Callithrix jacchus: one gene and its partners. The protein of the gene in region 2 interacts with the protein of the main gene of each other region in a pairwise test. Links are inferred from orthologs where the notes say so. Each region holds a gene or a part of one and is shown on either strand. Other genes may lie near its edges. The genes, in order: PLP2, TMEM79, RPRM, SFTPC, TNMD, RNF8 and CLEC7A.

Region 1 (4,465 bases), on a different chromosome or scaffold from region 2:
CCACCTTGGCCTCCCAAAGTGTTAGGATCACAGGTGTGAGCCACTGCTCCTGGCCTTGGGCTCTAACATTAGAAACAAGGCTTGCCCTATTTCTTATCAGCTCAGTGCTCACCAAGCCCTGTTCTCACACAGCCTTTACACGGGTGGGTTCTTATTCCCATCACTGCTCAGAGGTTTATTCCACTGTCCACAATCCATTATCCAAAATTCTGGAGAACAAAAAGCTCTGGAAACTGGTGGTTTTCTGACAAGTTAGGCACTATTTGGTTACAAAACTTGACCTGATCTAATGAGGAACACTTTTCTTTCTTTGTTTTTCCTTTTTTGGAAACAGGATATTGCTCTGTTGCCCAGGTAGGAGTGTAGTGGCATGATCATGGGTTCACTGCAGCCTCGAACTCCCGGGCTCAAGCAATCCTGCCACCTCAGCGTCCGGAGTAGTTGGGATTACAGGCACGTGCCTAGACTAATTTTTTAAATTATCTGTAGAGACGATTATGTTCCCAAGATTGATCTCAAACTCCTGGGCTCAAGCAATCCTTCCACCTGAGCCTCTCAGAGTGCTGGGATTACAGGCATGAGCCACCGCGCTTGGCTGAGGAACACTCTTCAATCCTTACTTAACCAGTTATTGTGAACTTTCATGCTTTTTCTTGAATAAATACTGTTTTTATTATTTTATTTTATTTTATTTTATTGAGACAGAGTTTCACTCTTGTTACCCAGGCTGGACTGCAATGGCGCGATATCGGCTCACCTCAACCTCCGCTTCTTGGGTTCAGGCAATTCTCCTGCCTCAGCCTTCTGAGTAGCTGGGATTACAGGCACGCGCCACCATGCCCGGCTAATTTTTTTTTTTTTTTGTATTTTTAGTAGAGACGGGGTTTCACCATGTTGACCAGGATGGTCTCGATCTCTTGACCTCGTGATCCGCCCGCCTTGGCCTCCCAAAGTGCTGGGATTACAGGCGTGAGCCACCGCGCCCGGCTTTTTAAAATTTTTTTAACGCGTCAGCTCCAAACCCCGGCTGAGAGTATATGCACCGGAAGACTCCGAAATCAAAAATGTTCTGAATTCTGGCAACGTACTGCGCCCCAAGTCTTTCGGATTTAACTCTGCCTCGGCCGTTTTATTCAGTTAAGGAAACTGAGTCACTCCCTCCCAAAGGCAGATTCCCGTGGTTCTAAGTTGAAGCTGTCTCGGGTGCATTTGCATTCCAAAAAGGCTAAGGGTCCCGCTATTACTGCTCATGATACCTGGAGCTGCCGCGCATCCCGCCAGTGGGGCGCCCTGGGGGCTGTGCGTCAGGCTGGGAGTATCCTTGGCGGGCGGGGCGAGGGGGCTTCCGGGGCGGCAGCCACCTGGCCCGGCCCCCTCCTGCCCCGCCCTCGTCAGCTCTGCGCGGTGATTCACTCCCTCCTTCGCCCCGGGGCCCCCTTCCCGGCCAGACGGCGGGCAAGACGGCTGGGTGTGCGGCGTCCTCGAACCCACGAGCAAAAGAGAAGATCCTTCGAGGGCCCAGGGACTCCAGCCCATGCCATGGCGGATTCTGAGCGCCTCTCGGCCCCCGGCTGCTGGGCCGCCTGCACTAACTTCTCGCGCACCCGAAAGGGAATCCTCCTGTTTGCTGAGATTGTGAGCGTCCTGGGGCAGGCGCGTGGGCAAAAGCGGGATGGGGTGGCTGGACCACGCGGAACCGGATGGTCCGGGTGAGGCGGGCACATGGCCGGGGCGCTTGGCAGTAAGGTGCAGGTGGGTGGGTTCACGGTGGAGGCCCGAAACCCGGGGCGCACGGCGAGTCGGTGGGGTTTGGAAAAGAAGGTAGTTGAGATCTAGTGGCCCCGGGGTGAGGCAAGGAGCCTATAACTCATACGGAGGGCTGCGTAGGGGGAGCCTGTGTGGACTCATCAGTGGACGCATCGAAGGGGTCCTGGGGTGCTGGGAAGTGGGGGCCTCCTGCGGCAGGGCGTGGCGCGGCCTGGGCACCGGAGGGCGGGCTGGCAGCGCGCCCAGGGGCAGGGCCTGTTGGGGTGGGGCCCCCCGCGCTAGTCCCGCGGTGTAGAGCGCCCCACCCTTTGCCAGTTCTTCCTCGCCCTTCTGAGGCCGGGCGGGATGTCCTTAGCTTTTCGGGGTTTCCACCCTCCTCAAAGTGGGCGCTGCCTTTGAGTCACTTGTAAAAGGGGTGCGGTGCCTTTAACGGAGTCCCGCCTCTCTGGTGTCACTCTCACCACTTCCCAAAGGGGTTGCTGGGGGAACCGCGTGTCCCGCCTAGGTCAAGGCCACAAAGCCGGCGTCACCGGGGCTCGCAAAACACCTGGCAGCTCCACTCCCCTCAGGCTGCCCATATCCTAGAAGGAAAAGGGGGAGGGAACTGAGGCACCCAAGTCTACTCCTTACTTGCTGGGTGACCTGGGCAAGCCATTAAACCTCTCTGTGCCTCAGTTTTCTCATCTATCAATTAGAGTAATAATAGTACCCAGCATGAGATTGTGGTGATGATTAAGTGAATTTGGAACACAATGAGCACACAAAAAGTGTTTAGCTATTATTATATGTCATTTCCCCAGCCCTGGTAGGCATACGAATATGGGACCCCCAATTTAAACGGATCGCCTCAGCCCTTAGGTCTCCTTTCCCATGTTCCCTTTTCTAGATATTATGCCTGGTGATCCTGATCTGCTTCAGTGCCTCCACACCAGGCTACTCCTCCCTGTCCGTGGTTGAGATGATCCTTGCTGCTATTTTCTTTGTTGTCTACATGTGTGACCTGCACAGCAAGATACCATTCATCAACTGGCCCTGGAGTGTGAGAAGGGGTCAACAATGGCAAGGCCAGGGAGGGGTCTGGGCAATTAGGATTGTCTGGGGAACTCTGGAAGCTGACTCCCCTCTTCTCCTCCCTACACTTCACAGGATTTCTTCCGAACCCTCATAGCTGCGATCCTCTACCTGATCACCTCCATTGTTGTCCTCGTTGAGAGAGGAAACCACTCCAAAATCGTCGCAGGGGTAAAGGTCATGGGAGCAGCTCTGAAGCACAGAGGGAAGGGTTTGAGGAATCAGCCAGGGGCCATTTCTGTCCGTGCTTCTAGCAGAAAGCCTGTGATCCATAGCAAGTCACATTTGTCCTCAGGGCATGCATGTCCCAGGCCTTGGTTTTACCTCCCAAGGTCTTCATTTGCTGTGAAGGCGGTCCCTTGTCAGACACAAGGACCTTGGTGGGAAGTACAATCAGGTGACCCCTTTGTCAATGCACTAGACTACCATCTGCAAGAACTTTTTCCCAAATGTAGTAGGAATTGGGGCCGGGCAGGGTGGCTCATGCCTGTATTCCCAGCACTTTGGGAGGCTGAGGCCAAGGCAGGTGAATCATTGAGGTCAGGAGTTTGAGAACAGCCTGGCCAACATGGTGAAACCCAGTCTCTTCTAAAAATGCAAAAATTAGCCGGGCATGGTGGTGGGTGCCTGTAGTCCCAACTACTAAGGAGACTGAGGCAGGAGAATCACTTGAACCCAGGAGACAAAGGTTGCAGTGAGCTGACATCATGCCACTGTATTCCAGCCTGGGTGACAGTGCGACTGTTTCTCAAAAAAAAAAAAAAGTAGTATAAATTGTGTGTGCTACGTGTAGGACCACAGTGTGACCTCCCTGTGTTGAAGCATAAGGAGGAGGGAGGGTGGGGTAAGATGCCTCCACTGGGGTTCTTTGGCTTCCCAACCTCGGGCTTCAGTCCCATCTGCATGGGGCAGGTGCTGGAGGTGGTGAATACAAGAAGATAAGAGACTGAGTAACCTGACAACCTAATCTAACCCCCCGACTCTGATCCTGTCCCCCAGGTACTGGGCCTAATCGCTACATGTCTCTTTGGCTATGATGCCTATGTTACCTTCCCCTTTCGGCAGCCAAGACATACAGCAGCCCCCACTGGTAAGTGTGTGTGTGTGTGTGTGTGTGTGTGTGTTGGTGGGGGGCAAGGGGGTTGCTGAGAGGGCAGAGGAGAGAAGGAAAGCAATCTCTTAAAGACATGAATGCCAACTCTGTCCAGTGTTGGTACTTATGGGCTTTTGTACCAATAGGTATCATAATCTTCAGTATTCTTGTGCATAAAATGTTCATGGACTTTGGATCTTGTTTTTAAAAATGGGCATATAGATTCAGCCAATGCTTTCTCTCTTTTCCTCACCTGCAGACCCCGCAGATGGCCCAGCGTAGGTGAACTCCCCTCATTTCTCTCTGAAGTCTGCAAATAACTCCTCCATTGAAATACTCCTCTCCATCCCCACAACATTCCCAGCCAACCAATTCCCACCCCCTCATTGAGGTAAAAGTGCCTTTATTGGGAGACTTTTGTCTTCTAGCCTGCCAATCAACCCTCCTGGGTGTGGCCACCGTTATGCTTGTGCCTAGGTCCTCCTTCGGCAGGATCCAATAGGAGATACCAGTTCTGCCTGAACCATAACCCCC
Region 2 (4,365 bases):
AGCTGACAGGCACCTGCCACCACACCTGGCTAATTTTTGTATTTTTAGTAGAGACAGAGTTTCACCATGTTGGCCAGGCTAGTCTTGAACTCCTGACCTTGTGATCTGCCCACCTCCCAAAGTGCTAGGATTACAGGCGTAAGCTGTTAAGCCCAGCTTTTTATTTATTTTTTTGAGATGGAGTCTAGCTCTGTCGTCCAGGCTGGAGTCCAGTGGCACTATATTGGCTCACTGCAACCTCCACCTCCTAGGCTCAAGCGATTCTCCTCCCTCAGCCTCCTGAGTAGCTGGGACTACAGGCATGCACCATAATGCCCAGCTAATTTTTGTATTTGTAGTAGAGACAGGGTTTCACCATGTTGGCCAGTCTGGTCTCAAACTTCTAACCTCAAATGATCCGCCACCTCAGCTTCCCAAAGTGCTGAGATTATAGGCATGAGCCACCGCACCTTGTCTCTATTTTTAAATATATATATATATTTTTTAAATTGCACATTTGGTCACAGGGGGTATTCAACTAGAGACCAAAAAAGCTACCTGACCAGATTGCCACAGGAGTGGCTGTAATAGGTGCATTGATCTAGATGACACCTGAAAGCCTTCTCGTTCTACACAGTTATATGTGTCTCTGAAATCAGCTTCCTATGGAAGACATATGAGCTGACCATCTGCTACCAGTTGAGTTAAGGTGCGAAAGAGAAAGTGGACTTATCTCTCTAGGGCACACATTTGGGCCAGTGTAGAATCCAGAAAGCTCCTGCCCCTGGCTCTCCAGACATTCAGATGCCCCTCTCCCATGCCCCACCCCCTGCCCCAACTTACCGGGAGATGGCAAAGAGACCAGTGAGCAGGGGGAGCAGCTTGAGGGTATCCTGGGGCAGGTAGGTGGAAAGCACGGCCAGGTTGAAGAAGTAGAGGATAAAGAGCTGGACCGACTGGGCCACATATCGCCGGTGGATCTCCACCTCCCGCCGTGGCTCCCCAAAGGGCCGAAGGGCAGAAAACCATAACAGGCTCAGCCCGTACACCAGGATCCCTGGGTGGAGTTGGGAAATACAGGGTAGGGTCAGAATAGGCAAGGGATGCGTGCAAGAAGCGGTCAGCTGGGGGCAGGTTCACTGTGGGTGGTACATGGCCATGGGCTTTACACAGTGGGGTGGAGGTGGTCCTGGGAGGAGATGGGCATGCAGAGTGGTGGGGGGTGGGAGACACTGAGGGGCCCAGGCCAAGTGAAGGGAAACCCTCCTGCTCCCCATGCCGGGCTTCCCGATGCCCCCTTTTGTCTCACGGGCTCACCCAGCACAATGGGGAAGGTGGCAAAGACCCCGCAGCGCAGTGTGTAGATCAGGCGGGAACTCATGGTGGGCAGCCGTGGCACATCAAAGGGCAGGAAGGCATATGCCCCATATAGTAGGCAGGGAAAGAGGAGAAGTGCAGCTCCCACAGAGGCCACGGCCCTTAGCCATTCACGGTCTCCACAGCTTCCGCAGCCCCCACAGGAACGGCCAGGCGGCCTCACCACTGCCTCAGCCCACTTGCACTCAGTGGAGTTGGGGTGGGTGGCCCGGGGGGGCACAAAGGTTCGGCGTTCGCCCTCGCCTGCCTCACAGCGCACGATAAGGTCATCTTGGGGTCGCCGCTCAATGCACTGTAGGTCAATAGGCACGAAGGCACGGGCTGCTTTCTCAGGCAGCAGATTGGCATCATCTTCGGTCAGCTCCTCTAGCTTAGTAAGTGGTTCTGACTCAGGGGGCTCCGGTTCAATGTCCCGCCAGCCAGGGGGATCTGGGAACGGAGCACTGGGCTGAGGGCCAGTCCCCCAGGGCAAGGTGGCAGCCTCGCTTACTGTGCTGTCTAGACCATCTTCAGCTCCCTCTATGGCTGTAGGAGACCCAGCTGAAGATCCCACTCGGAGGGACTCAGCTCCCGGGGACTCGACCCCACCTTCCCCTTCTGGCTGCTGGCCATTGGGGACCAAGGCCTGGGGCGAGCTCTTCTCTGGGGCCTCAGACCTCTTCACTTCCAGCAGGGCCAGGGGCTCCTGTTCTGTCATCCTGGAGCCTCAGTTCTGGGATCTACCACAATGTCATGTCATCCTGCAAGGAGCAGAGGAAAGCTCTGTCAGAAACCCCGGTCTTCTAGTTTTTAGGATGGGTTGACAAAACTCATACTCTCCAGGGCAACTGGCTTCATGGGCTTTGGCCCCTTCTGGAGCCTTAGGAAGAACGTGGTACAGAGGAAGACGCTGAAACAGAGGGAGGAGGGAAGGAAGTGAACAGCTGAAATGAAATGGAGGCACCCTTTCGACATCAAATGCCATTCAACAGGAGAGGGTGAGTCAAGGGACACAGGCCCTGGCACTGTGACCTCAGTCAGCCCCCACCCACGCCTTCTATGCCCCTCCACCAAAACCCCTGGAGTCATAACCACCCTAATGCAGGAATAGGAGGTAGAGGTAGAGGAGTTGTCTAGAACTTTGCCAAGTTTCCTTCCCACCGAGGATCTTCCTGTAGAAAAAGAAGCTTCCCCTCCACTGTCCCATCTCCCCTTCTCCCTACACATCCCTCCTTGGAACCTTCCTGGGTTCCAAGTGAGACCAGTGATTTGCCAACTAATCTGTCCCAAAGAGCTGACGGTTGCAGGGCACCCTGTCTCTTCATTGGCACTTGGTCAGTTCCCAAACTCCTCACTAGCCCACCTCATCCATCTCCGCAGGGCCTGGGTCTGTTATTTCGACTTTTAGGTCCGATCATGGCTGTTTACCATGCCTTCTTTCCTGTCTTTCTCCCCTCCCTGCTGCCCTCCAACTCATTCTGGATGGGACTGATTTTCCATCCCTCATATCAAGGGTCCTCCAAACCTTGCAGTTTGGACCCATGACATCCTCTTACTTTCCGTGTGGAGTGAAGTAGAGGGTCCCATCCGTCAGTCTGTCAGTCTGTCAGTCCGTCCGGGAGGGAGCTGCCCAGCTACCTGCTGGCTCTGCAAGTATTTCTCTCTGTCTCCCTCCCTTTACCTGTGTCTCAAAACCTGTCTGACCAGAGCAGGTGGGGCCCAGATTAAAGGGGCAGGCCCCGCCCTGCTGAATCTGCCGACAAAAAAAGCCTTAGAGGAGGATGTCATCCTTTCTGAAAGTTGGGATGCATCTGGGCAAAGGGGTAAGTTCACATTCTAGGCACCTGGAATGTGTAAGGGCTCCCAGCTCAGGAAAGCAGAGGGAGAAAGTGAATTTGTGCACCAAAGGGTGCTCGGAGTAGGTTGGGATACCCAGAAAAGAGATGGAATTTGTACACTTATTCATTCAGTAAATATTTATTGAACACCAATTATTAGCTAGGCACTTTTCTAGGCAGACACAGAAGAACAGAACAAGATGACAGTCAAGGTCTCTGCCCTTGAGAAACTTATATTCTATTAGGGTAACATAATGAAGACTAGCAACTAAATCAGTTTGACAATTTTAACAGGAAAGACCTCTTTAGTAAGGTAATGTTTGAGCTGAAATCTGATGGGAAATCAAGAGTATGAGTGTTACAGGCAGAGGAACAGCAAGTGAGTGAGACCAATGGGTGGCAAAGACTTAGGCTGTTTCAGGAACAGAAAGAAGGTGGGTGGCTGGAGCCAGGAGCATAGCGGTGGAAGGGCAATTTATGTTCTCAGTACAATGTGTACACAGGCCAAAAAAAAAAAAAACCCAAAAAACAAAAGCATAAAACCCTTGCTTTTAATTTATTTTTTTGAGACAGAGCCTCCCTCTGTCACCCAGACTGGAGTGCAGTGGCACGATCTCTGCTCACTGCAACCTTTGGGTCTCGGGTTCAAGCGATTCTCCTGCCTCAGCCTCCCTAGTAGCTGGGACTACAGGTGGGTGCCACCACGCCCAGCTAATTTTTTTTATTATTATTTTTAGTAGCGAGGGGTTTTCACCATGTTGGCCAGGATGGTCTTGATTTCTTGACCTCATGATCTGCCCGCCTTGGCCTCCTAAAGTGCTGGGATTACAGGCGTGAGCCACTGGGCCTGGCCTAAAAAAACCTCTTGCTTTTTAAACTTAGGTTTAAGCTAAAGCAAGACAAAGCAGTCATGTTCCTAGCTGTGAGCCCACCTGCCCTGATTTCCAGCGTGAGGATCAGGAGATAGAAATGTGAGGGAGTAGCATGTCATTCCTATGAGACCTTATCCCTAAAGTCATTTGAGCTTTGTGAGAGCAGAGATAGTGTCTAGCTTGCTCACTTCTGTGTCCCTAGAATCCTGCACTGTGGCCGGAAGACAGGAGTTCAATAAATGTTGCTGGCTGGTAAGGGATAGATATGTGCTGGGTGTGGTGGCGCTTGCCTGTAGTCCCAGCTACTCGGGAGGCTGAAG
Region 3 (3,668 bases), on a different chromosome or scaffold from region 2:
CATCTCCCACATTCAGGACCTCGGCTAACTCCTCTGAGCCCTTTGCCTGGTCTCCGGCAGACTCAATTACAAAGAGCAGGCTGAATCTTTTAATCTGGTCTTTTTGTTAGAAAAAGTAATAGGGCATCGACAATAATGCATCTCATGTTTTAGTAACAATGGTTTACCCCAGGGAGTATTAACATCACTAACGTCACTGTGTACCTTAGCATCTACTTTTCCTCGCATTTTATAATGTCTTCCCCTACCATGGGCAGCATCCCAGAGCCGCCTAGCTGACGTTAGTTAGGGTAGAGACTCTCTCCCTAAAGGCTGGCCAAGCCGTCTCTTCCTTTCATTAGCGGTGTAATCCTGTTCCCGCCGGAGCCTGGCACGGAAGTGTAATCTTCCCGCGGGGGCCCTGCTGTCGTCTAGCCTACCTGAGAGCTGAGACCAAATGAAATATAAAATATTAACGATAAGAGAAAACAAAGGATGCTGCTTCCAGGACGACTCCTGTGCCTGAGTCTGGGGTCTGTCTCACTCATCCCTGGGCCTCTCCGTCTGGCCCAGACCTTCGCCCCTCCACGGGATCCACAAGTTGAATCGCAGCTCTCCAAGGTGAACTGCTCTGGCCGAGAGCCAGACTCCTCACCGCCGCCCGGTTTTCCCTGCTGGGGAGCGCAGAATGACCACCAGGAGGCCAGGAACCAAACGCTTAAATGTTGCATTTATTAAGGAAATGTTAAATAAGAAAAAAACAAAAAGTCAAAACTGTGTCACGGATGTCAAGAGCACTTTTGTGGCGTAAACCGTGCAGTCACGAGCTACGAGTTCTATTTTAGGTCTTTGTCCTAGGGCCAGCAGGAACGCCAGGCACCTCCCAAAAGACCCAGTGGGAAATGCACTAAAAGAAACAACGCACCCCGTTCAAATTCGCAGGCTTCCCCTCCCCCCACCCTTTTCCCACAATGACAAAACTCTAACCCCTCAGGCAGGCAAACAGGCCACGGGGGCAGAAAAAGACTCATCAAATATTTGTATTCAAGCAAACAAACACAGAACCTTTTAAAACGGCACGTTACAATCAAAGGTATTTATCGCCTCTCCCCTCCAGGGAGGGAGAAGAGTGAGAGCGCATCCCGACACGGATTTGTGCGACCCCATCATGTCTGCTGCGTGGTTTTTAACAGGTCATTTTTCCGGTCACAAGGCGATCAGTGCCTCTGGTTTCTCCCCTGCCCGCCCTCTCCACCTGCCCCCAGAGCTTGGCCCACCTGCGGGTGGAAAAGGACCTTCGCCCCGTCGGTCTCCCCGCATTCCAAGCAAGTAGCAGCTTCCAAAGTTCTGCGCCCTAATCACCCTCTTCTTGTCACTTTCTGCTGAGTCCAGAAGTCTGGGCGCTCTCCTCCGACAGCCAGGCATGAGGACTTTCAGAGGGCGAGGGAGAAACCGGTCGCTTCTCTCAGAAAGGCGGAAGTCAAGAGAAATAATCGACTCCGACAGGTTTGCTTCGCCCAGTCTCTGATGGAGAGGGGCACAGCCGGGCTGGCAAAGTGGGCAGGCGTGGGAGCGATTGCCGCGGGGGCGGAGGGCGGGTCAGTAAGGCCCCACGACCACCGCCTCCACCTCCTTAGACGGTCTCCTTTCCTTCACGAGGAAGTTGATCATGCCCTCGGACTTGATGAGCAGATTGCAGCCGAGGAAGAAGATGCCGAAGACCACGGTGAGCGACAGCACGCACATGACGGCGATCTGCACCACGCGCATGATGTACAGGCTGCGCTCGTCCGGGCCTCCCTCGGCGAAGCCGTCGTCGGTCACCACCGACGCCTGGGTGCAGCAGCGCATGGCGCGCTCCAGCGCCTCGCTGCTGTTGGCCAGGAACAGGCCCGCCACGTCGGTCTGGTTGCCCAGGGCCAGATTCATCGCAGGAGCCGGTGGGCGCCGCGGATCCGAGGGGTGAGAAGGAACCGGCGCTGTAGGAACAGGTGCCGGGCTGAGCGCTCACTCGCAGACTTGCGCGCGCGAGGGCTCTTCGCTCTGCTTTCGAAAGTCCTGGACCGTGGGAGTTTCTCAGGAGCCTCTCCGACGCGCGCAGCTGCTGGGCTCTTCTAACGCCGTCCGCTCCAGCCCAGGCGGTGCTCGTTCCCGGCGCTTGCTCGACTGGGGGCTGTTGGAACTTGGCGGGGCTGGGCCAGCCCCGCCGTGGGAGGTGCGGGCGCGGCGGCTGCAGCGGCGGGGCGGCTGCACTGAGCGAACAGCGGCCCCTTCCGGCCGCACCGCTGCGCTGCGCGCTGCTCTCGGGCGGTGGAGGAAGCAAAGGGGCGAACCTGGTCTTCCTTTTTATTGCTTGCTTCTTTTGCAAACTCTAAAGGCCAGGCAGAGGTCACAGTACTATTCCGGCTTGATGGATGATTAAATAGTTTGGGGGGGGGGTGCGGTCAGCTGAAAGTTTCAGAGGAACTGGGACACACCAGCTCTGCGTGTCCTTTGCTGCTGCCCCCCTGCCCTCTGGGCGGATGGAAAGTGGCGATAAATTGCAGGTGCCAGATGGTACCGGCCGAGGCCACCCGCCCGCCGCCTGCTCTTGACTCCATCTCGCCTGAGTTGGATTTCTAGTGTAGTGGGTGTGATCTGAGAATGTTTCTTACAAAGTAATGAATTTGGCAAGACAGAAAGGCATGGAAGAAGGCAGAAACGAAGGAAGGAAAAGTAAAAAGGAAGGGAGGGAGAAAGAAGAGCTCTACACCCAACCTCCTTTATAAAAACGATTGGGAGACAGTGCAAAGCAGGTTTTCTCGTGAGGTTTGAGGCCAAGGGAAGGGGGTTAGAGGAAGGAGGAGTTACTCTGTGGCCCTTGGGTGGAGGTGGTTGCCGGGAGCAGGGTCACCTCTCTAGTAAAGGAGGTGAACAGAGTGACCACTTGCTTGTAATTTTAATTGCAGATGAGTGTTTGGATGTACTTCCAGTATTTTGACCGCTGGCAGTAAATCAGTTGTTTAAGGGAATTGCTCACCAACATCCATCATCTAGAACGCTGGCCAAATGCTGGGAACCCTCCGCATTTTCCATAAGCTGATGCATTTAGCCCTTAGTCATTTTAAACTAAAAACAGATGTTTTTATGGGCCTGGTCGAAGTTCCAGCCATTGTGATTTTACTGTAGGTTTCAATGAAATTGTATAAACCTGTCAGATTTTCTTAACTCTTAAAGAATACTGCATGTTCCCACGCCTTCTTTTTTATTTTCTTTCCCATCCCTCTTCTTCCCCATTACTCCCTGCCTTCCTCCCTCTTTATTTCAACTGTAACAGCTGAAAACCAGTAACTTGAACTTTTGATGGCATACTCTTACTTTCTATTAAATGTTCTCACCACAAAGAATCAATAAAAATTTGAGATAATAGCTATGCTACTCCGATTTAATCATTCCACAATGTATATGTGTATCAAAATATCACTTTGTACCTCATAAATATGTACAATTATTTATCAATTAAAATTAAAATGAAACTAGAAAACAGTAGCTGTCTTGCCATTTTAACTCTATTCTTAATTTCATTCTGTTTGCTTCATAAGTCCTCTTATTTCTGTCTCTTAAAACATCATTTATTCCATCTTCAGAGTGTTGCTTAAATGTTTTTGCTCTGCTTCATGACTATCATAAAATAGAACTAAATGCCTTCT
Region 4 (4,292 bases), on a different chromosome or scaffold from region 2:
AGTTCATGTCTATAATCCTAGTACTTTAGGAGGATGAGATCACTTGAGCCCAGGAGTTCGAGACCAGCCTGGGCAACATGGCAAAAACCCAGCTCTACAAAACATATGAAAATTAGCTGGGTGTGACGGCATGTACTTGCAGTCCCAGCTACTCGGGAGGCTGAGGTGGCAGGATCACCAGAGTCCAGGAGGTCAAGGCTGCAGTGAGCAGTGATCTTGCTACTGCACACCCGCCTGGGTAATAAAGTGAGACCCTGTCTCAAAAAAAAAAAGAAAGGAGGTTAAGAGAGCAAGGCCTAAAGAGGGAGGCGTGGACTCTGCCTCAGTCACCTGAGTTGGGAGGTGAAGGGACTTCAGAGACCACCTGGCCCAAAGAGTGAAAGGGAGCTGAGAGGAAGGGTGAGTCAGCCCAAAGTCATGGGCAGATGTGGCCTTATGAATACGCAGAGATGGCTTTGGGGAAAGCAGTACGAGAGAACGGAGAAGGAGACTGTCCCAAAAGTTGATCATATTTGGGTGAGTAGCATTCTCACAGCAAATTTAGGATCAGAGGATGTAGAAAGGGAGTCTAGAGGGGTGGGGTGTAGACCACAGGGTGAGTGGCTGATTCGAGGATAAGGAGACTGGGAGCCCACCAGTGACCAGAGCCAGCCCTGTGTAGGGCTGTCCAGGTGGAAGAAAACAGTGTCAGACCTGGAATCTGCTATCAGCACAGTCTGCAATTGACAGACATGCCCACAGCAAAGAAGGAAGCACTGCACATGAGTAAGAGCTTGCCACCAGCGGGGACAGAGTTTCCAGAATTAGGAAAATAATGACTGGGGGCAAGTTTGAGGTTGTTACTAGATGTGTGGGAGGAGGCAAGGTGAGAGAAAGAGTGCTTGAAGTGGGAATTCGGCCCTTGCAGGGAAATATACATTTATGAAATACCCAAAACTGACATCAAAGCACCTCCTGCCTTCAGCGAGTCCCCTCAGAATCTACAGGCACTGTCTCCAGAACCCGCCTCCGGGAGCACATCCCTAGTCATGGAGAAATTCTTTTGGGAAATGTGATGGTCAAACCCTTGGCCACCCGAGAGGTTCAGGCTGACAGAAGAACAAGGAAAGCCACAGGGGCAGGTGCCAGCAAGGAAGGCAGGCATGCCAACAAGATACCCACAGTGAGAGGTGCAGATGCCCCAAGGGCAAGTTTGCTCAGCTAACCCAGGTTTGCTCTTGCTGGGGCTAAGAGGACTCATGTGCCAGGGCCAAGGGCCCTTGGGGGCTCTCACAGCTGGCTTATCTGGGCTTTGGTTCTGGAGGGTCAGGAACAAACAGGCTTCAAAGCCAAGGTCTTGGCTGGCACACAGGGGGCCTGGTCCTTCACCTCTGTCCTCTCTCCCTACCGACACATATAAGGCCCTGGTCACACCTGGAGGAGGAGGAGAGGAGAGCATAGCGCCTGCGATAAGATGGATGTGGGCAGCAAAGAGGTCCTGATGGAGAGCCCGCCGGTGAGAGAGAGCAGAGAGAGAGAGAGAGAGAGAAAGAGAGAGAGAGAGAGAGAGAGAGAGAGAGAGAGAGAGAGAGAAAGAGAGAGCGAGAGAGAGAGAGAGAGAGAGAGAGAGTGTGTGTGTGTGTGTGTGTGTGTGTGTGTGTGTGTGTGATGGGCCCTGCCTCCTCTAACTTCCCTGCCCTGTTTCCTTATCCAGATCCACTCACACAACTAACGTAGGGCTGTGATAAGTCAGCATGGGGACACCAAGACCACTAAGCCAGAGACCCTTGGGAAGCAGTTCATGGGCCGAGAGCCACTATAGGGGTTGATGGAAAGGGCTGTTTGTAGACAGCCCCAAGCAAGAAGTCATGAAATACACCAGAGGTCAGGGGATACTTCACAAAGGAAATGTCACTCCTACTTAATGGGGGTGATCACTTGGGGAACAGAGAGGGGCTGGCCATGGCTGGGATGCCAGAGGGCTGGGGTAAGCGCAGGAAGAGACAGGTGAAGCAGGCTCTCTGGGGTCCCTCAAAACTAGACCCTGCTTCTCAGCTTCTGTGTGTCTGTGTGTTTGGTAGAATCCAGGCCTTCTCCTTCAAGAAGCCTCCTCTAATCTCAGCCCTTCCCTGCCCATCTGTCACATCAGCTATCCAGCCCTAGGTGGCCATAGGAGGGTGTCCAGCTTGTGCAGGGAGAGGAGGGGATACCCTCATGACCTCACGCCGGTCTCCCTGCCTGCCCCACCCTGTCAGGACTACTCCGTAGCTCCCCGGGGCCGATTTGGCATCCCCTGCTGCCCGGTGCACCTGAAACGCCTTCTCATCGTGGTGGTGGTGGTGGTCCTTGTCGTCGTGGTGATTGTGGGAGCCCTGCTCATGGGTCTCCACATGAGCCAGAAACACACGGAGATGGTGAGAGGTGTGGGATGGGGCAGCAGTGGGGCACAGGACATGCCAGACAGAGGGGCTGGGTGGGATGGGCGTTAGGAAAGTGTCCAAGGGGAGTGGAGGGGAGGCAAGGGGCACAGCTAGAAGGAAAGAGGCAGGAACCAGGTGGCAACCCAGCCCAGGCTTTTCCACAAGGCCCCTGTCCTGCAGCAGGACAGCTGACTCCCTCCATCACCTGGTTCCACTCAGCCTCCCTGAGCTCTCGGGAAAGAGGGAAGCACATCTGAGTACAGAGGTCTCAGTATGTGGATTGGTACTGCAGGCTGATTAGGAAAGGGGAAGACCAGGCAGATCTGTGCGCTTTTCCCAGGTCCTGGAGATGAGCATTGGGGCCCCGGAAGCCCAGCAACGCCTGGCCCTGAGTGAGCATCTGGGTACCACTGCCACCTTCTCCATCGGCTCCACAGGCCTCGTGGTCTATGACTACCAGCGGGTGGGTATGCCGGGACCTCCTGACCCTGGGATTAATGACAAGACTCTGCTAGAGCCACCCAGCTAGGCCACTTCACATCCATCTGTCCCCTCCTCCAGCCCTTTTTGCCTGAACCCCTCCTAGTATGACTCCTGTGCTTAACCTAGACAGATCTGGCTAAGGATCTGGATCAGGGAGGGAGCAGGGCAGGAACCCCCGAATGATCGCCAGCATTCTGTGTCCAGCTCCTGATCACCTACAAGCCAGCCCCTGGCACCTGCTGCTACATCATGAAGATTGCTCCGGAGAGCATCCCCAGTCTGGAGGCTCTCACTAGAAAAGTCCAGAACTTCCAGGTATGTGTGTGAGTGAAAGGAGTGGGCTGTCTCCCTGCCAGGCCTGCTGGGAGGAGTGTCTGAATGGTGGCTATTTGTCGTCTGTAAAGTACCGTTCCTCGTGGGCTGTGGACTGACTATGCCTCTCCATACTCCCCTGCACGACTCCTTTCCTACCCACCCTGCTGCCAAGCTGCTGGGCTCAGGTGAGCCCACTCACCACCTGGGGGCTTCTGACTCCAGCACAGTCCCCCTTTCCTGGTGAGGAAACAGAGGCTCAGAGAGATTGCCTGACATGCCTGAAGTATGACAATCCGGGCTGCACATGGGATAGAAACTCACTTCCCAGATTCCAAATGGAATGCTTTCTGCAGGCCAAGCCCGAAATGCCAACCTCTAAGCTGGGCCAGGAGGAGGGGCGTGATGCAGGCTCAGCACCCTCCAGAGGGGACTCCGGCTTCCTGGGCATGGCTGTGAGCACCCTGTGTGGCGAGGTGCCGCTCTACTACATCTAGAACGCTTCAGGTGAGCAGGTGTGATCCCAGGGACCCTGATGAGCAGCGGAGGAGCCCTCGGGCCACCTGCGCTGAGCAGTGGAGGAGCGCTCAGGCTGACCAGGCGCTGGGGCGTCCACTGAAGCCTGGTCATTCAGGGAGCTCAGGGGAGGGGAGGCTCATACCCGTATTTCCCACTACCGGGAACCTCTGTCCAACCTCAACGTTCCTTTGCTTCACAGGGTCAGTGGAAGCCCCAAGGGGACAGGAAACGCCCAGAGAAAAGGGTCTTTTGCAACTTTTGCAGACGGGCAAGAAGCTGCTTCTGCCCACACCGCGGGGACAGGCCCTGGAGAAATGGGAATTTGGGGAGAGGATGGGAGTGGGCGGAGGTGGCGCCCAGGGGCCGGGGAACTCCTGCCACAACAGAATAAAGCAGCCTAATTGAAAAGCAAAGGGTCTGCTTCCATCTTCCCGCAGGACGCAGTGCTGCCCCGGCGGCGGCCGGCCAGAAAGGGAAGGGACTTGAGGGAGCAGAGAGGGGTTTGCCATTCTTCCTCTGTCTCAGGGCACTGAAGGACTGGGTCCACCCCGGCGGGGTAGAGGGACTTGCCGGGAGCCA
Region 5 (3,507 bases), on a different chromosome or scaffold from region 2:
CTGCACAACATAGACTACTCTATTACCCAAGAGAGGTTATTCCCACCAATTTAAGCATCTGTGGGTTCTCTTTGGAGATATAAGAAAGGAGACTAAATGCAGTGTGGTATCCTGGACTGGATGCTAGAACATAAAAAGCACATTAGTAGAAATACGAATGAAATCAGAATAAAGTCTGTAGTTTAGTTAATAACCTTGTACCAATGCTAACTCCTGATTTTTTATCATTGTACCACAGTTATATAAGACAACATTAGGGGAAACTGCCTTAAGAATATGTGAACTCTGTACCACTTCTGCAAATCTTCCATAAATCTAAGATTATTTCTAAACAAAAAGTAAAAAAATAAATAAATAAATAAGACAAGAAACATAAGGGAAGTGGGAGGATGTCAAATCAATTCAGGCAAGCAAGAAATATTTATTGAGCATCTATCATGGGTAAAGTCATCATTGTAGGAGATACAGAAGTCCCCTGTCCTCAGTTTTTAATTTAGTATGCTAGTAAGGCAACGCAGTAAATGTTTGATGCCAAAGAAGCAAAGAAGTCTGTGTATGTATAAATGATCAGACTTGTTTTGGAAACTACTCTAAAATATCAGCTGAAGGAGCTTGGAAAAGTGGTCCGTGCCTAAATGATGCCAGTTTGAAGACACAATGATGAAAATCTCTCTCCCCAGCTGCTATTCCCCCAAGCGCTTCTTTCAGGAACATTTGCAAAGCAGTTGCATCACAACTTTGCATTTATTATCTTAGTTTCTGAGTTACAAGACTTTGAGGAGGACGGAGAAGATCTTCACTTTCCTGCCAATGAAAAGAAAGGGATTGAACAAAATGAACAGTGGGTGGTCCCTCAGGTAAAGGTAGAGAAGACCCGTCACGCCAGACAAGCAAGTGAAGAAGAACTTCCGATAAATGACTATGTGAGTTATGTTTATGTAAACTCTTGATAGAGGAGAAAAAAAGAGCCCTCACAAAACTTACTACCCCTCAGATCATAGTCATTGGAAGGAGAATGAGCATGGCTTTAACAAAAAATGTTTAAGAAACTTGGACTCTCCAGGAGGCTCATTCAAAATCAGTCTTGATCTCTGTAGATATATCTCCATGATCAGGCTAAGGAGCTTAATTTCACACAAGCCCCCAACTCATACAGTCTTCTAGTTCTCCCCTGCTCGGTGAGAACTCTTGCTAGTGAACCTTCCTCTCCCACCCCCAACACTGGCTTCTTCTTCTTTCAGACTGAAAATGGAATAGAGTTTGATCCCATGCTGGATGAGAGAGGTTATTGCTGTATTTACTGCCGTCGAGGCAACCGCTACTGCCGCCGCGTCTGTGAACCTTTACTAGGTTACTACCCATATCCATACTGCTACCAAGGAGGACGGGTCATCTGTCGTGTCATCATGCCTTGCAACTGGTGGGTGGCTCGCATGCTGGGGAGGGTCTAATAGGAGGTTTGAGCTCAAATGCTTAAACTGCTGGCAATATATAATAAATGCATGCTATTCAATGAATTTCTGCCTATGAGGCATTTGGCTCCTGGTAGCCAGCTCTCCAGAATTACTTGTAGGTAATTCCTCTCTTCATGTTCTAATAAACTTCTACATTATCACCAACAGCCTGATTGCTGCTGAACACACTGGGTAAGTGTTTGCTGAGAATATTCCCAGCAATTAAAATGGAGCTGACCTGTCTAACATGGATGACTATGTTGAGGCTCAGAAAACAATGCCCCAAAATGAAGGCCTCAGAAGCAAAACTTTTGCTCTGACCTTCTGCCTACCAGTCTCTCAGTCCCATTCTCTCCCAAGGCTAGCCATAGAAACTAGAATCCCTCTTCCTCAAGGCGTGTCATAGAAACCAGAATCCCTTTTGTCTAAAGCCAGCCGTTAAACCTAAAAATATTACTCTGATTTTCCCTCCACTTTTCTGTGTAAAAGCTGGCCATAAGGAAATTATCTGACCTATCTTGTTTGGCTGTAGGTAATAAGACTCCCTTCCCAGAGAGGATCCATCAGGTTTGGAAGTAGAAAAGGTCAAAGCATAAAGATACTTAAATACCATATTGTACTCTGCTGTGTTAAGACAGTGGAAATAAGGGGCTGATGATAAAATGTCTCCATAACTGATGCATTAAAAACATATCCTTTTGTGCATAGCCCCAGTGTTTAATTATATAAAAGACATATTGTGAACTTGCTTAAGTATCAATTAAGCTGCTGGACAGGCAGTGAGTCACAGCAGGCCAACACTAAAATATTCCAAATGTGCAGACTCAGCAAAGGAGAAAGCTAAACTAGCAAAAAGGGTCTCGGGCTCTCCTATAAACAGGAACTCAACTTAGGACAAATTCAACATTCCATAGCCTTTGCATCTGGCTTCTCTTTAGATCAGTGTCTGATTAGATACCTTCCTAAGGCAGTTGTCTAAAAAACAAAAACCCATGAATATTATTCACAGAAACAGACATCATAGGAAATTACTGAGGTGAGAAATCAAATGGGATTTTCTTCCCAAACCACAAAGAACCTGCAATATACCACTTTCTTAACGAAAAGGTAAGGCCTAGTTCCCAATCACTTTATACTTTGCTTGGAAAGGAAAAGGGAGCAAAGGGGAAAGGAAAAGAAGTGGTTAAAAGCTAAGGTTAACCTTGATGTCCCAGCCAGTTCCAGTTTCAAAATTCATGCTCTACCAATCTGTCACCCCTTCTAGTTTCATTTGAAGGTAGCATTCTTCATTGCTCAACTTCAAAGTTATTGTATCATGAAAATGTCTGTCTGGAATTTTCTATCAGAAAAGTATTTTCAAATAAAATCTTCACCAAGATGCCTGTGGGCCAGGAGTCATTTTCTCCCATTTAAGAGTTGAGGAAATTTATAGAAACGGCTTTGCCCAAGGTTGAGTTAAGATGAGCCAGTCATTAATTGGTAATTAGCAAACATGCCATACTTGGATTACCAATTTTCACAGAATGAGAGCACAATAAAATATATCTAACAATGCACGTTACTGAAAATATTTCTAATTAATGATTTAGAAGAAATCTGATTGTTTTAGAGTACTTTGATGATCATAACAAGCATTAATTTATAGTTTAAATAGTAAAATGTAAAAGATATGAAATTACTTTGAGGTTATATGAACTTCATGATGTTTCTATAGTTTTTTTTTAATAAGACTACTCATTTTTAACATTGCTTTCTTAGATCAGCCAATAATTTTATTTATTTTTTTCTATTTGTTTTATTTTTCCATAGGTTATTGGGATACAGGAGGTATTTGGTTACATGAGTAAGTTCTTTAGTGGTGATTTGTGAGCACTCAAGCAGTACACACTGCACCCTATTTATGGTTTTTTATTCCTTCACACCCCCACCCTTTCCCCCAAATCCCCAAAGTCCATTGTATCATGCCTTTGTGTCCTCATAGCTTATCTTCCACATATCCCTGAGAAATACAATGTTTGGTTTTCCATTCTTGAGTTAATTCACATAGAATAAT
Region 6 (4,233 bases), on a different chromosome or scaffold from region 2:
CCAGGAGTTCAAGACCAGCCTGGCCAACATGGTGAAACCCCCCTCTCTACTGGAAATACAAAAATTAGCCAGGGATAGCGGTGCACATTTGTAATTCCTACTATTCCAGCTACTTCCAGCTACTTGGAAGACTGAGGCAGAAGAATCCTTGAACCCAGGAGGTGGAGGTGTGATCACACCACTGCACTCCAGCCTGGGTGATGGAATATTCTGTCAAAAAAAAAAAAAAAAAAAGCACCACAAAACAAAAAGCCCCAAACCAGTAAATATAACCATCCTTTCCCTTGGGGCAGAAAACTTCATGAAAACTAAATACAAGAGAATAAAAGGGGAGAAAGGTTCTGTTGGTTTCCTCAAAGGCAAAGATTCTTTATAGTACCTGAGAACTAGCTAATTTGCAATAAATCTCTAATTGTTTTTCCACCAAACTCCATGCATTGCTTTAACAAGCTTAAAGCCACTTATTTAGACAACCGATTTACTACAGTATTCCCATCAATGAAATGAAGGGAACTCTGTTTTATTATTTTATCTGCAACATCTGAGACTAAGAACAGGAAAGGCAGGGAACTGACCTACTTTGCTGTTACAATGTTATTAGTATACCTCCTAAAATCTTGTGCAAAACAGCTTGTCCTATGATTTGGGGACCATTACAATAACTACAACTTCTCTTGCCTTTGACTCAGATTTCTTTTCAGGCTATGCCATGACCTGACCTTGCAGGCCTCTCCTCCACACAGGTCCCTGAAGCCAGCCAGTCTTAACACTGTGTCATCATTCACTCAGTTTGTATGGGTCTCTCCCCATAGAAGTGGCCCTGACACAAAACGATCAAAATGTGTAGAATATGTCTAAGAGTGCTTTATAGTCTTCTTGCCCTTCCTGCAGGTGCTTTAATCCTTCCTCCCCATCCCACTTGCCCAAGGCTGCAGTCCTACCAAGCTATTCAGAAGTCATAAATTAATCCACAACAACGGAATCTAAAGGAGTAACACCTGCCCACTAAGTTAACTTACAAGGTTGTGTGTATGCAGGGATCACATTCAATAATGTATTAAGTAACAGTTATACATAAAAATAATTTATTTTGTGTGTACTGTTCAGGTTATTACTCAGGTGTTGGTGTTTTAATTTGTTAAACTTCTCAGAAACATATACTGTTGGAAAGGGCCAGGCAGGGAAAGGTCAGTGCTCAAGCTAAAGGAATGAATGCCTAATGTGGACTTTTGGGCACTAACACCTGGATAGAAGAGGTATTTGGGGGCAGAGGTGTTTTCTTCATGTTCCCGAAATCACGACATACAAGTAACCCTTTATAACCCTCTCTAATCTAGCAACTAAAGTTGAGCCTGAACATGAATCCCTCCCCTGACTTGAAGAACTACTGCTCTGGGATGGAACTAAATAATCCATATCTTGGCACTTGATCATACAGCCCATATACAGTTCTTAGACTGCTTCATTGTATAAATCCTCTCTCCCCACTTAAGCCTGAAACTCTTTGAGCTCACAAATTTTATGTGTTCTCATTGTACACCAATGTTATGTACTCTGTCAACACCTGGCAGACTGAATTGAGGAGTATGACTTACAGGCAAAATCTACCTGAACATACGTAAGGCTCAAAAGACTTTTTGAGTTTACAACATCACGACCAACTATCCACTTTTACTGCAAAGGGAACCTTTCATACAGATTTCCAAAACCCAAATGGTTCCCCGTCATCACCAGCTTGTCCCTGACTCAGTTTTCCTCTCAACCTGATTGCAATCTAACTCCATCCTCCCTTCCCTCGCCCTTTGAGGATGCATCATCTTCAAAGTGCATCTTGAACCGTGCCAGGAACGTGCCTCATCTTTCCCCTTTAAAAAATTTTCATTTGGAATTATATTAACAAAGGCGACAGGCATCCTCTGGAGAGAACTCGGAATCCCTGCCCGATCCCTCCTTTAGGGGTGCCACTCGGACGTACCGAGCTTCGCGGGAGAAATGCGGCCCAGCCTAAGGCGCCCCTGTTCCTCAGAGGTGGGAAGGAGGAAGACATTTCTACTTGAGAGTTTGATCACTTTAAGGGACAAAACCCAAAACTCGCATTCGTTTTCAAAGCAAACTCGAGAAAGTTCAAGCTCCGGGCAGCCCTTCCAGGCCCCGCCTCGGCTGCCCAGCGGCTCGCGGCTCCAATCCACTGTTCCCAGGCCCGGCACCGCTGGGCTCCGGGCGCCCTAAATGGGATCTGGCCAGGCCCCGCCCTCCACTCCGCTATAACACCGCTTCTCCTCACATCCTCTGCGCGTCCCTCTCCTTCCCGGCCCCGACCCCACTCCCCGCAGACCCAGGCCTCTCTGGGCTGGGCCCTCTTCTCGCCCCACCGCCCGCGGGCCAGGCCTCGTCCTCACCCCAATCCTTGTGGCCCTCCAGAGCCGAACTCTCTTCTCTTCCTTTCTCCCACTCGGTCCCTATTTCTCCCCAAATACCTCCCACCTTAGACCCTTCAGCCGCTCGAGCCAGAACCGCTCCCTCCCTTCTCTCCCCAGGATCCACCCCCCCCATCCCCTCGTTCGTCTTCTGTGTGCCTGCCTCCTCTCTGCCATTCATTCCGCCCACCTAGACGCCTTCCTCCTTCTCCGGAGCCCCGCTCCCTCCAGCCCCTGCCCTCCGCCCCACAGGACGCCTTCCCTTGTACCTCACACCCATCTTCCAGTAGCAGCCACCCGGCGCTCATCCCCACCCGCCGCAGGCACCAGCTCCGACCACCGGCGCGGTTTCCCGTGACCAAGAAGCCAGGCTCCCCCATCGTCTACTCGACCCCGGGGGCGGTCAGCACGGAACTAGACCCCGACCCGGGTTCCTGCAGCCTCGCAGCAACCAGGCAGCTTCCATAGCTAAACAACAGACAGAAGCAATCGCCACGCGCTCACATCGATGCGAATACAAGCTCCGCCTGCCCGCCGTCGACCCGGAAGCAGGAGCACTGCACCTGCGCGAGAGGAAGGCAGCCGCCCCGGGGCGGAGAGGGTTGGCTGGTAGCGGATCTCGACTCCTGCGGGGCGGGCGCGGCTCGAGGGCTCTCCTCGTCACGTGACACCTTCTTTTGCCAGCTCCCAAACCATCACCTAGTCCTAGCCGCCCCAGACTGGAACCTCTCCTCACCTTTCCTCTTTTTTAAAAAAATCATGTAAAACTATAGCCCACTTTTAAACAACTTTAAACTTTCCATCAGTTTTAAGTCCGCTTAGCCTGTTCCTAAATAGCTTCTATTTTGCACGACCTCCTCATATTGCCGAAGCAAAAAATAAATTACACTAGGCAAATCTACAAAGACAGAAAGCACAGTTACTTGGGGCGAGGTGTGGGAGCGGGGATTAATGCAGATGGGGTTGGAGAAATGGAAGGAAAGCAGTAATAGAAATGTTCTAAAAGTGGATTGTGGTGACAGTTGCACAAGTGTATAAATTAATTTATTAAAAAGTCATGGAAGTGCTGTAATCCCAGCACTTTGGGAGGCTGAGAGGGGCGGATCGCTTGAGCTCAGGAGTTCCAGACCAACCAGGCCAACCTGGGGAGACCCCGTCTCAAAAAAGAGGGGGGAGGGGAGAGGAGGGGAGGGAGACAAGGGGACCCGGAACGTCTGGGAGGGGAGCGGAGGGGAGGGGAAGAGGCCAGGAACGGAGGGAAGGTGAAGGGAGGGGAGAGGCGGGAACAGAGGGAAAGGGAGGAGAGGGTAGAGGGGCGGGAACGAAGGAAAGGGGAGGAGAGAGGAGAGGAGGAGGAACGGAGGGAAGGGGAGGGGAGGGGGCCAGGAAGGTAGGTGGGAGTCAAAGCTGCACTCATGGAAATGCTTCCCTAAGCTGTGCATAGGTATCTGTTGGTGGCCCCACCCCACCTTGGCATTCTATCCCAGGAACAGCAAGCACACCTGGAAACCACTGTGACATTTAGTCTGTGTGTCTCCTTAGACTCCTCTTGGCTGTGATAGATTGTCAGTCTTTCCTTGTTTTGATGACCTCGACAATTTGAGGGGTACTAGAGAGATATTTGTATAATGTCCCTCAGTTGGGATTTGTCTGATGTTTTTCTTGTGATGAGACTGGGGTTATGGATTTGGAGGAGGAAGACCACAGAGGTAAAGTGTCATTCTCATGGCATCATATCAAGGGTACAGGCTATCAACATGAATTATCACTGTTGGTGTTCATCTTGATCACCTGGCATTTCTCATTTCTTGATCTG
Region 7 (3,418 bases), on a different chromosome or scaffold from region 2:
GTTCTATAATTTTAGTATGGTTTTTTTCTCAAATCTATTTTTTCAACACTTATACTTCCATTTTCCTTCCAGCATTCTCAGTACTGTCTTTTAACTCTTAGAATACACTAACCATAGTTGTTTTAGCATGTGTCTGAATGTCCTGTATATATCTGTCTATATGTAATTCCAATGTCCTATATGTATATATGTCTCTGTCTCTCTCTCTCTCTTTCTTTTTACTACTTTTCATTTGTGTTGACTAGTTTTCTTTTATGTCAGATTGCTTTTTATAGGGTGTTTAACACTGTATCTTAAAATCTTTGCAGAATTAATTCGAAGTGTTTTTTCATTTGCCTCTGTTCTCACCACAGAGTCTGTTCACCCAATGGTGTGAATGGTACCGACTGCTGAGTATAATCACTTAACTGTTTTACTTCTACTAGGCCAAGTACAGTGAATGTATTAACAAACAATCGGCCAAATGTATTTTCTACTTTTTTATAGAACTTGTTTGTCTTGAGTTTTCTTTTGCTGTTTTAAACATATGGCTAGAGGACTCTTTCTATAATCACAAGCGTGGGCCCAAGTTAACGTTTTGTTTGATATGTTAGTACTCTGTGGTTTTCTTGGTGGCATTTATTTAATCCAGCCCCAAAACACTTAGATGTCAAGGAAAAATTTTTAAAAATAATGCTGATCAGCGTTCTCCCTGAGGTATAAACTAAGTAGTTAATCCTAGTCTTAGTCATCTCTAGAGCAAAGGTTTCTCAGTCTTCCAACCTCAGCGTCAAGAAGAAGAGATAGATACCCAAGACAAAGAGCGCCAAGTCATAGCTTTTGCACTGAGGTGCAGTGATCCTCTTTGAGCTTGACTAATTAACACTGCTCCTTCAGGATTTTGAAGACCAAATTGAATAGGACAGTGCTTCCATTTACCAATGTTGATTACCATAACTGTCAAGCATTGTATTGTGATATAATTCTGCTTTCAGGATAAATTAAAATAAACAAGAGTTGTTTGCCCTTCCTTTAAATGACCTGATTTAAAGGCATCTATGATTCTTTTTTTTAGTTCTTGATTCCTTTCAGCATTAATACTTCTGCTTGGTCTACTCACTAAGTATATTCAATAATAGTTTCACTGAGCTGTTGCTTGATTTGATAAAGAAACATCTAAGTAATAGGTTGAAAGATATATAAAGAACTTTTAATAGAATATTAAATGATTTTTCTTCTTTGCCAGGATCTTTTTTAAGTTTATGCAACTAGTCTTATTTCTTGAATAAAAAAATTGTGTCATTTTTCTGCCTTAAGAATGGAGACTATTCATTTAACCACTTGAGATTAAAAACAATTTAGATTTAAACCCCTTTTTCCAATAATATAAACACTTCGGAACTCTTTTCACCAATATCCTTACTAATTTATTTGAGTGCCATGTGGACAGTATTCCTTAACATTTGTTCTAATTACATCATTGTATTCTATTTTAACAGATTTCAGATCAGAACCACAGCTACCCAAGAAAACTCATCTCTCAATTGTGTATGGATTCATGTGTCAATCATTTATGATCAATTGTGTAGTGTGCCCTCATATAGTATTTGTGAGAAGAAGTTTGCAATGTAAGGGATAGGGTAGAGGAGGAGGGAAGAAATACGTGAGCTAGTAAGGAGGACAGAAAACAGAACAGAAAAGAGTAACAGCAGAAGTCAAAATAAATGCAGAAAATGTTCAGAGAGCTTGGCAAACTGTAATCGTACCCAAGAAATTGAAAGGGGAGGCTGTGGTTTCTGTATTTGTTGACCTACACATAGGCCAGTATTATTGTTCTAGTTAGTAGATCTCTAGACATGGAGTCAGGGCAGTCAAGCTTGAATTTCTTTTCTTTTCTTTCTTTTTTTTTTTTTTTTTTTTTTTTGATAGAATCTCACTTTGTTACTCAGGCTGGAGTGCAATGGCGCGATCTTGGTTCACTGCAGCCATCTCCTCACCTCAGCTCCCCCGAGGTAGCTGGGACTACAGGTGCATGTCACCATGCCTGGCTAACTTTTGGTATTTTTTGTAGAGACTGGGTTTTGCCATGTTGACCAGGCTAGTCTCCAACCCCTGGGCTCAAGTGATTGCCTGCCTTGGCCTTCCAAAGTGCCGGGATTACAGATGTAAGCCATCACGCCTTGCCCCAAGCCTGAAGTTTCATTTTGCCATTGACTTGGTATTTACCTGGGATAAACCATAAGATAATCTTAATTCCCGGCTCTATTAGAGTTGTTTTTGTACTCAAATATGCCATTGAAGTGCATGGTTTGTTGCCACAATTTGTCCCTTAACTTCTAGCAGTATGGAAACTGCTCTCAAAGGAAAGTTTTCTGCTTTTTAAACGCTAGCAACCAAAAAATACACAAAGTCTGTTGATGAATATAAAAAAGTAATCAATCTAATTGGAACAAGCATTAACATTTTGTAATATGAAACATGCTTTATTAGTTTCCTGATGTACTGTTTTATAATTTTTATCATTTTTTTCAGTAACTACTGCAAAAAGGTATTATTGGAATGAAACTATATTTCCTCATGTGCTGATTTGTCTCTTTTCTTTTTTTTCATACTTTCCCACTGGTGCTATTTTTATTTCCAGTGGATATTTCTATATTACTGGGGAGGCATTTGCAGCCCTCTAATGTCAATTAATATGTGAAAAGAAATTGTACAAATTTCACTAAATTATTCACTTTAAAATGGCTGATTTTATGTTATGTGGATTTCATCTCAATAAAAAAAGAAAACTCTTATCAAAAAACCCCTAGCCTCTAAATTATGTGCCCATGTGTCACAATCACTATCACGATTTGCCTTCTCCCCAAAAAATGAATTTGGTGTGGGTGGAGGGAATATTTATAGTAGATATTTTGATATTAAAGCATTAATTAGAGTTCTTAAAAATTTTTTAAATCTAAGAGAAGATGAAGATTTTTGTGAGGTTTACTACTGTTTAATATGCAAATTTATATTGTCATTATTTAAAAATATGTAGAAAGGGATGAGACAGATAGGTGCAGCAAGCCAGCATGGCACACGTATACCCATGTAACAAACCTGCACATTCTGCATGTATATCTCAGAACTTAAAGTAAAATAAAAAAAATAGTTGTACTATATAATAAACATAAGAAAAAGAAAGGGAAAAAATGACATAAGAAAAAACTTTCAATGTCAAAAACCACAATAACTTTTGCACCAGCTTCATACTATCTTTCTTGTATATATCTGCCTTTCTCCATAGAATATAGTCTCTAAAAGAACAGACAGCTTTGGTGTACATGGGTGTACACAACAGTCTGTGACTAGTACTTGCCATATAGCCAATAGTCAAAAATATTCTTGTTATTGTTGAAAAAAACAAATTTTAAGGAAAAGTAGTATAAATGTTAATGTA

Evidence for each region.
Region 1: the proteins of TMEM79 (region 2) and PLP2 interact in binary tests that used the Homo sapiens proteins (3 or more experiments, as listed by UniProt). The two-hybrid records come from large-scale screens. The link is inferred for Callithrix jacchus from reciprocal best matches to the Homo sapiens genes TMEM79 and PLP2.
Region 3: the proteins of TMEM79 (region 2) and RPRM interact in binary tests that used the Homo sapiens proteins (3 or more experiments, as listed by UniProt). The two-hybrid records come from large-scale screens. The link is inferred for Callithrix jacchus from reciprocal best matches to the Homo sapiens genes TMEM79 and RPRM.
Region 4: the proteins of TMEM79 (region 2) and SFTPC interact in binary tests that used the Homo sapiens proteins (3 or more experiments, as listed by UniProt). The two-hybrid records come from large-scale screens. The link is inferred for Callithrix jacchus from reciprocal best matches to the Homo sapiens genes TMEM79 and SFTPC.
Region 5: the proteins of TMEM79 (region 2) and TNMD interact in binary tests that used the Homo sapiens proteins (3 or more experiments, as listed by UniProt). The two-hybrid records come from large-scale screens. The link is inferred for Callithrix jacchus from reciprocal best matches to the Homo sapiens genes TMEM79 and TNMD.
Region 6: the proteins of TMEM79 (region 2) and RNF8 interact in binary tests that used the Homo sapiens proteins (3 or more experiments, as listed by UniProt). The two-hybrid records come from large-scale screens. The link is inferred for Callithrix jacchus from reciprocal best matches to the Homo sapiens genes TMEM79 and RNF8.
Region 7: the proteins of TMEM79 (region 2) and CLEC7A interact in binary tests that used the Homo sapiens proteins (3 or more experiments, as listed by UniProt). The two-hybrid records come from large-scale screens. The link is inferred for Callithrix jacchus from reciprocal best matches to the Homo sapiens genes TMEM79 and CLEC7A.

What each region holds. Positions count from the first base shown.
Region 1 is NC_133524.1:49,709,180-49,713,644, forward strand, and holds the start of PLP2 (proteolipid protein 2), read left to right. Parts: upstream 1-1,436; 5' UTR 1,437-1,539; coding exon 1,540-1,635; intron 1,636-2,653; coding exon 2,654-2,806; intron 2,807-2,913; coding exon 2,914-3,009; intron 3,010-3,837; coding exon 3,838-3,928; intron 3,929-4,190; coding exon 4,191-4,213; 3' UTR 4,214-4,465. UniProt on the Homo sapiens protein: May play a role in cell differentiation in the intestinal epithelium.
Region 2 is NC_133519.1:16,674,454-16,678,818, reverse strand, and holds the start of TMEM79 (transmembrane protein 79), read right to left. Parts: upstream 3,001-4,365; 5' UTR 2,892-3,000; intron 2,334-2,891; coding exon of another isoform or gene 2,290-2,333; exon of another isoform or gene 2,179-2,289; intron 2,097-2,178; 5' UTR 2,054-2,096; coding exon 1,297-2,053; intron 1,037-1,296; coding exon 823-1,036; intron 1-822.
Region 3 is NC_133507.1:76,581,404-76,585,071, reverse strand, and holds RPRM (protein reprimo), read right to left. Parts: upstream 2,148-3,668; 5' UTR 1,909-2,147; coding exon 1,579-1,908; 3' UTR 693-1,578; downstream 1-692. UniProt on the Homo sapiens protein: May be involved in the regulation of p53-dependent G2 arrest of the cell cycle. Seems to induce cell cycle arrest by inhibiting CDK1 activity and nuclear translocation of the CDC2 cyclin B1 complex.
Region 4 is NC_133514.1:19,325,127-19,329,418, reverse strand, and holds SFTPC (surfactant protein C), read left to right. Parts: upstream 1-1,421; 5' UTR 1,422-1,453; coding exon 1,454-1,495; intron 1,496-2,234; coding exon 2,235-2,393; intron 2,394-2,739; coding exon 2,740-2,862; intron 2,863-3,086; coding exon 3,087-3,197; intron 3,198-3,550; coding exon 3,551-3,691; 3' UTR 3,692-3,701; intron 3,702-3,912; 3' UTR 3,913-4,126; downstream 4,127-4,292. UniProt on the Homo sapiens protein: Pulmonary surfactant associated proteins promote alveolar stability by lowering the surface tension at the air-liquid interface in the peripheral air spaces.
Region 5 is NC_133524.1:96,896,433-96,899,939, forward strand, and holds the end of TNMD (tenomodulin), read left to right. Parts: intron 1-756; coding exon 757-923; intron 924-1,241; coding exon 1,242-1,451; 3' UTR 1,452-2,825; downstream 2,826-3,507. UniProt on the Homo sapiens protein: May be an angiogenesis inhibitor.
Region 6 is NC_133505.1:45,694,151-45,698,383, reverse strand, and holds the start of RNF8 (E3 ubiquitin-protein ligase RNF8), read right to left. Parts: upstream 2,899-4,233; 5' UTR 2,798-2,898; coding exon 2,687-2,797; intron 1-2,686. UniProt on the Homo sapiens protein: E3 ubiquitin-protein ligase that plays a key role in DNA damage signaling via 2 distinct roles: by mediating the 'Lys-63'-linked ubiquitination of histones H2A and H2AX and promoting the recruitment of DNA repair proteins at double-strand breaks (DSBs) sites, and by catalyzing 'Lys-48'-linked ubiquitination to remove target proteins from DNA damage sites.
Region 7 is NC_133510.1:12,875,759-12,879,176, forward strand, and holds the end of CLEC7A (C-type lectin domain family 7 member A), read left to right. Parts: intron 1-1,478; coding exon 1,479-1,611; 3' UTR 1,612-2,782; downstream 2,783-3,418.